Ovis aries: one gene and its partner. The protein of the gene in region 1 purifies or fractionates together with the protein of each later gene. This does not show direct contact. Links are inferred from orthologs where the notes say so. Each region holds a gene or a part of one and is shown in the gene's direction. Other genes may lie near its edges.

Region 1 (3,511 bases):
ATTTACTAGACGCTTTACCACACACTGAGGATGAAATAGTGATTGATAAGCACACAGTCATACTCATGAAGCTCACGGTCAAGTGAGGGAAACAATTATCAATCAAGACATCGTGTAAGAGAATGAAAAGTTGCTACTGTGATACACATGTGAAAGGGGGGCTATGAAGTTCCACAAGAGAGAATACTCTGGGAGATCTAACGCAATTAGAGGACTGAAGAAGCTTCCTCGGGAAAAAGATTGAACTAAGACCTGAGGTATAAGAAACTGTCAGTGAGTTTCAGGGGTTCTAGGCAAAGGGCATCCATATCCTTCTAGTGGGAGAAAGCACACGGAAGAGGAAGGGAAAGTTTTGACCAGATGGAGCCTTGTATTGAAGGATTTTTGTGGATTCTGACTGTGTTTTGAAAGCACTAAAATGACATTATTAGATTTTAATTTACACATCAGAAATTTATAAATGATGGATAATTAGAAAAATGTCTTGTTGTGGTCAGGAGGAGATTGTCTTGGAAAAAAAAATCAAGAAATCTCACTACTGCACATCCACACTGAAGATATCATAATTGAAAAAGACACAGGCACCCCAGTATTTATCACAGCACTGTTTACGATAGCCAGGGTATGGAAGCAACCTAGAGGTCCATTGACAGGTGAATGGGTAAAGAAGATGTGGTGCATATATGCGATGGAACGTTGCTCAGCTGTAAAACAACACATGTGAGTCAGTGCTAGTGAGGTGGATGAACCTAGAGCCTGCTATACACAGTGAAGTCAGAAAGAGAAAAACAAATATCGTCTATTCACGCATATGAATGGAATCTAGGAAGATGGTACTGATAAATCTATTTGCAGGGTAGCAGTGGAGATGCAGACCTAAAGAACAGACTTATGGACATGGGGGAGGAGGAGAGTGGGGTGATTTGAGAGAGTAGCCTTGAAACATATTCATTACCACAGATAAAATAGATAGCCAGTGGGAATTTTCTATATGATGCAAGGAGGTCAAATCTGGTACTCTGTATCAACCTAGGGGAGTTGGGATTGGGTGGGAGCTGGGAGGGAGGTTCAAGAAGAAGGGGACAAAAAAAAAAAAAGAAGAAGGGGACATATGTATGCCTATTGATGCATGGCAGAAACCAATACAATATTGTAAAGCGGTTATCCTCCAATTAAAAATAAATAAATCTATCTTGGTTTCTAATACCAGCAGGTTAGGGTTGGAATACATAATAGTGGTTGGTTTCCTGACAATCTAGGTGTTAGACCTGGAGGTTGAGTAACCATGAGATGGAAGATAAACTAAAATGGAAGACTTGGCATGGGAAATTTAATAATTCCATTGACTTGCCTGTGTATCTAACAAACATGCATTCATATGCAGTATATTTAAACTGGAAAGGCCTGTGTCATTTTCTAACAGAAAATTGAAAAGCTAAAATAGAATCATTTGCCACCTGTTTTACTATATACCTGAACTTATTTCATTTTCTTATCTCATTCATGTTTTCTCTATTTATAAAATTACAAGACTAATTTTGTTTCTCAACACATACTTTTCACCTAAATATTTCTATGGAATTAAGAATAATCATTTGGCTTTTCAAGGTTTTTCTGTTTGGAAAAATCTAGACTAATACAATGTCAAGCATGTAAGCATATATTTGCAATGAACATTTATTAATAGTAATTTTTTAAAGTTGAGTTTTGTGTTCCTTTTCTGAACCCATTAGACTGTGCTGTTAACTCATCCCTACTCTGCTGGAGTTTAATTGTTGACTTACTGAGAAAGGAGACTACTTCTTGTATGGCCCAGCCCTATTGGATCTCAAGTAATAAACTAGATTTTTAAGCAAAAAGTTAAATATGGGAGGAAAGAAGAAAAACTGACAGCACTCAGCCTTGTTCCTAAGCAGATGTGAAGTTTAAAAACTAGCTACCAAAGTTGCAGACAGTATTTCATTTGGAATATCTGTGATGACCTAATCAAATATAGGCTAAAAACTCAACCTTCAGAAAACTAAGATCATGGCATCCAGTCCCATCACTTCTTGGCAAATAGATGGGGAAATGAAACAGTGACAGACTTTATTTTTCTGGGCTCCAAAATCACTGCAGATGGTGACTGCAGTCATGAAATTAAAAAATGCTTGCTCCTTGGAAGAAAAGCTATGACAAACCTAGGCAGCATATTAAAAAGCTGAGACATTACTTTGTCAACAAAGGTCCATCAAGTCAAAGCTGCGGTTTTTCCAGTAGTCATGTACAGATGTGAGAGTTGGACTATAAAGAAAGAATTGATGCTTTTGAACTGTGGTGTTGGAGTAGACTCTTGAGAGTCCTTTGGACTGCAAGGAGATCCAAATCTATCCTAAAGGAAATCAGTCCTGAATATTCATTGGAAGGATGCGCTGAAGCTGAAACTCCAATTCTTTGGCCACCTGATGTAAAGAACCTGGGAAAGATTGATAGAGGGAGGAGAAGGGGATGATAGAGGGAGGAGAAGGGGACAACAGAGTATGAGATGGTTGGATGGCATCACTGATGCGATGGACATGAGTTTGAGGAGGCTCCAGGAGTTGGTGATGGACAGGGAAGCCAGGCGTGCTGCAGTCCGTGGGGTCACAAAGAGTCAGACATGGCTGAGTGACTGAACTGAATCAAATATAGAGTTCTGAAAAATCATAGACTTCTCTATTTAATATGTTCCGTATGCTGAGTAACAGTACCTCAAGGTAGAAAAGGTTAGTGAAAGTGCTACTTTTTTTTTTTCCTGTGGTTAACCTAAATATGCATTTCTTCTAGCCCTGCAGCCACTGCTGTGATATCTCTGGCATTTGGACGCTATATTCTGGAACCATTTTTTATTCACTGTGAAATTCCTGAACTTGCGATCAAGCTCATTACAGCTGTGGGCATAAGTGAGTATCGTAGGTATAAATATGAAAAAGAAAACAGTCCCTACAAAAGTTATTGGAGACAAAATTTCTAGAGACTTTTTGCATGGTGGTACTACTCCTCACATGGTGGTGTTCTTGCTTACAACTGCTTGCCAGATTTGTGTTGGAAAATAAAGAAAAGAATAAGGGTTTGGAGTGATGCCTGATACAACATTACAAGCCTATTTTGTATTGGGTCAATAGATGTGATGGCTAATCTTTTAAAATAGGCAAACAAAACCACCTTGTTAGTAAATTAGTAACTTGATTGTGCCTAAAAAGAGACTTTTACAAGTGAAAACCCAATTTTAAAATGGGTGTTCTGAATTATAAAATATCCTTCCTTAGCAAAAACATGTAGAAGTATAAGGCACTTACCCTCATGGAATGGTGTGTGTGTGTTGGGTGTATATGTTGTGTTCATGAATTTTCTAGTGTTACCACCTGCCACTCTGTTCGGATTTTAGCTGTCCGTTGACAGTCACTAGACTCTTCTTCCAACGTTTGATTATTAGTGGCATTTCTCAACAGAGAAGGCAATGGCAACCCACTCCAGTACTCTTGCCTGGAAA
Region 2 (3,998 bases), on another chromosome or scaffold:
TTTTCTGAGATTTGCTGAGTAGAATAGATTAGGATAGAAAGTGGATTAATATTCATGTAGATAGGAATATAAACGGGACCAAGAAAGAAGGGATCGATGTGTGGGTGGGTGAGAGGAGGGGTAAAATGATGAATGGATATGTAGATGATGGATGGATGGATGGATAGATAATGTGTGAGTACATGTATGAACAGATATGTGGGTATGGATGGATGGAGGGGAGAATAGTATATAGATGGATGTGGCTTTACAAAGAGATGTGAAAAGATTAATAGATGGATGAGAAGTTGTATGGGAGGGTGGTTGGAAGAAGATGTGGTTGATGGATGGGTAGACAGAATGGCTGGACAGGAGGCTGGGTGCATGTCAGTGCATACCGATGGACAGGAGGGTAAATAGATGTGTGAGCCCTGGAGAGACACAAGATAAAATGGGTAGATAGAGGAACCCGTGGGTGTTTGGGAGGATGAGTGAGAGTGTGAGTAAGCCAAGGAGGAATGGATAGACGGAACCAGGTGCCAGCCTGGGACCGGAAGATGATGTACAGGTCAGTAGAGCCAAATACCAGCCCCGTGGCTGGCTACCATTAGCTTTCCCTGAGCAGTCCTGCTAAGAATCAAAAGTCCACCCGAAGCGTGTTAATGAACTCCCTTCTCTTTCAAGGGAAGGTCGACGAGCTCTTCCTCCCTTCCCTGGAAGAATCGCAAGCTCCCGACCATGCGCAGGGGAAAACCACACTTCCACGGTCCCAGCCCCTCTCCCAGAATATCCAGCTGCCTGTGAAACCCACAGAGAAGAGTTCCCCAGCCTGAGTCAAAAGAGAAACTTCGCGGAGGGGAGAGGCCAGAGGCTGAACCCAAAGGGGCGAGGTTTCAGGACTCAGTTATTCCCTCCTGCGTCCAGAGGCTGCGCTCCCAGCCGCCAGGAGAGAAAAGTCGGTGCGTCCTGGGTGCACGGGGACCCCCTCGGCCCTCCGGGGTGCGCGCCCAGACACCCCGCTTTATTATCTCGGGGGAGAACGGGGCGGGGGCGGAGGGGCCAGGGCTAAGGAGAGCTGGTACGTCTTTAAACTTCTGCGGGCTGCTTAGTCACAGCCCCCTCGCTTGGGTGTGTCCTCCCTCGCTCCCTCCCTCTTAGGTCACTCTCAACCCTCGAATAAAAACTGCACCCAACTTCCGAGGCGCCCTCATTGCCAGCCGGACCCCAGCCTCCGACAGGTTCGGGCGCCCTGCTTGCCCCGTGCTTCGCCGGCCCCCGCCCAGCGCCCGGCCCCTCCGGCTCCACTCCGCTCGCTCGGTCGGTCGCTCCGACGCCATGGACACGTTTTGGTGGCGCGCAGCTTGGGGACTCTGCCTCGTGCAGCTGAGCCTGGCGCAGATCGGTGAGTGCCCGCCCGGACGGGAGGGAGTGGCCCGGACCCAGCCGGGCGGGCTCCGTTGGCCCTGGCGGGGTCGGGGTCAAGTGGGCGGCGAGCGGCTGGGATTTGGCGAAGGAGGACCGGGCGAGGATTTGCGCTAAGCTCTTGGAGAGCCTGTCGTTGGGAAGCACCGTTTTGTGGAACGGCAAAAAGAAAGGGCGCAGAAAAGTTTGCTGGGCAGCAGGCTGTTGGCGCGCGGTTTGGGGTGGGGTGGTTGGAGCCGGTGGAGCACAAGGAACTGTACTCCTGGGTGCGCGCAGCCTGTCTGGACTAACACACTCCTGTGCCCAAGGGCACTTCAAGCCAGGCTGCGCAGGGCAGGGACAGGGGCTGGGGTAGGGACAGGGGTGCTAGCGAGGTGGCCATAGAGGTGGGCACTGTTGCCCTCTGTGAGGGTTGGTGGCAACAAGCTTCCCAGAATGGGGTCCCGCGTTCCTGTGGCTCTCCCATTTCACCTAGGTTCCAAAGCTCTTACAGTTGGCTCCAGTCACGAACAATCTTAACGCTTGTGGGAACTTGAACCTTCTCTGTGGCAAGGTTCTGGGTCGCCACGAGGTGCCAGCCTGGGGCAGGGAGTGTGAGTAGGATAGGCAGTGACTCGGCCAGCTGCTCCATCCTGGCAACCTCCTGCAGGCTGCCAATCAGTTAGGGGAAATCCAGACAGTCATGTGGCTCCCAGTGGGTGCCTGGCAGCCTCGGAGCAGGACAGAGAAGCAGGCTCCTGGGTGGCATCAGGGATCCCGGCGCCTGTATCCCATCCCCACAGGGTCCGTTCTTCTCAGGGGCTGTCGAGGGGGTGGCTGCGTGTGAGGTATTCTGGCAAGGCTGAACTCCAAGCATTCCTTTTCTTTGTCTTTATATGTGCAGATAATTACATGGCTGATTTGCTTATCGCTAGCAAAATTAATTTTTCTTTTAAGAAGTGCCAGCTGGGTCATTAAGACAGCTCAACCTATGGTTAATTCTACTCAGCAAGTGTTTATTAAACCCAGCTCTGGGGGTACCAGGAAAGTAAGAGACACAGTCCTACCGGGGTACTTTAGACTGAGAGGATAAGTGAGGGTCTAGGATTTAGATTCCTGAATCAGAAAAGTAATAATTAATAATAATAATTAACAGTAATCATAATGGCAGCACCAGCCACCATTTATTATACATTTGGGCTGGGCCAGGCACTGTGCTAAATTCTTTACACGCGTTATCTCGTTTTACCCTCAACAATGGCCCACTGAGAAGTGTCCTGTCGTTAGCCCCGTTTTGCAGGAGGGCAGCAAACCGAAGCTCAGAGAGCTTAAGTGACTTGTCTGTGTTCACACAGTCAGAAGACTGCTGGTTCTGTGAACCAAGCTTCTTTGCCTGTTGCTTGGTTAGCACTGGTTAAGCTGCATGTATGATATGGACAAACAGCAGCGTGATATGGACAAACTCAGAAAGGATTTTATGAAGGAGGTGGTGGACCAGAGGCTTTAGAGGAGGCTTTCAAAGGGGAACTGGAGCTCCAGGGATCTCTTGAAAGGCAGAGAGACTTGGGATGGGAGAGAGCAGGGAAAGATTTCAGGGAGAGCTGTGAGCCTGGCCTCAGGGAAGAGGAACCAGGCTGGTGTCTCTCTCTGTCTCTCTCTGTCTCTCTCTGTCTCTCTCTCTCTCTCTCTCTCTCTCTCTCTCTCTCTCTCGCCTATAAGGAAGTCCATTTGTATGTTACCTCCCTGGGGCATCTTCTGCTTTGCTTCTGAGGATTTCGACTCCTGACTCCTTCCATCCTGTAGCGCAAATTCTTCTAAAGGGCCCCATCCCCTGATATTTGGCACTGTCCTGACCCTTGAAGTTCCTCCCTTCCCCCCAGATGGGCAGGCTTACTCCTGCTCTGGGTTTCCGTGGTCCCTTTGGGGAGCGTCATTTGGAGGAAGCGCAAAAAAATGCCAGTAGCGATAGCTGCCTGGGCCCAGGCTTTCATGCACTTGTTAAGCTCTTTGGAAGGAACTGAGACTTGGGAAGGAGATGTGAGTTAACAGTGGGCTCGGGCTGGGCTGGCAGAGAGAGGAAGGACAAAGAGGAGGCGGGAAGACTCTTCTGGTGCCCCACCAGCGAAGGTGGTGGGCTCCAGAGGACAATGTGGACATTTCAGCAAGTGGCAAGGCTTTGGGGAGGAAGAAAGGGTCTGATCTTCATACTGAAAAGCAAGAAGTAGAGACATAGCCAAATACAATTAAGCAGCGTTGGACCCAAACTCTAAGTTGGAGAACAGATCTGTTGAACTACATTTCACACGTGGAAGGACGAAAGTAACCCTGGATAAAGAGCAGTGAAGTGAGCCCTCTATACCTGCCTGCCTCCTGTCCTCTGTGGGTGAGAGGTCCTTGCTAGAGAATTGTGCCCCTGGTGTTTAGAAAGAGGGGTGCAGCTAAGAGCTCTGGGGCTTTGGGGGTGGCTGGCACCCTTCTGATCCCTCTGAGCCTTAGAGACCCCTCTTTCTGGGAGTTAGACTTTTGGCTGTGTTTTCCCAGGAGAAGCAGCAACGAAGCCAACCTCCATTCCCGCTGAGGTTGGTTAGCATCAGTTAATTCAGTTGTTCCCCAGATAC

What was found. Proteins that work in one complex are often made in the same cells at the same time.
Region 2: the proteins of SLC7A11 (region 1) and CD44 purify together in Homo sapiens (affinity purification with western blotting; 3 studies listed by BioGRID and IntAct, with this or other methods). This does not show direct contact. The link is inferred for Ovis aries from reciprocal best matches to the Homo sapiens genes SLC7A11 and CD44.

Annotation. Positions count from the first base shown.
Region 1 is NC_056070.1:19,478,626-19,482,136, forward strand, and holds part of SLC7A11 (cystine/glutamate transporter), read left to right. Parts: intron 1-2,805; coding exon 2,806-2,921; intron 2,922-3,511. UniProt on the Homo sapiens protein: Heterodimer with SLC3A2, that functions as an antiporter by mediating the exchange of extracellular anionic L-cystine and intracellular L-glutamate across the cellular plasma membrane.
Region 2 is NC_056068.1:64,456,595-64,460,592, forward strand, and holds the start of CD44 (CD44 antigen), read left to right. Parts: upstream 1-1,188; 5' UTR 1,189-1,314; coding exon 1,315-1,381; intron 1,382-3,998. UniProt on the Homo sapiens protein: Cell-surface receptor that plays a role in cell-cell interactions, cell adhesion and migration, helping them to sense and respond to changes in the tissue microenvironment.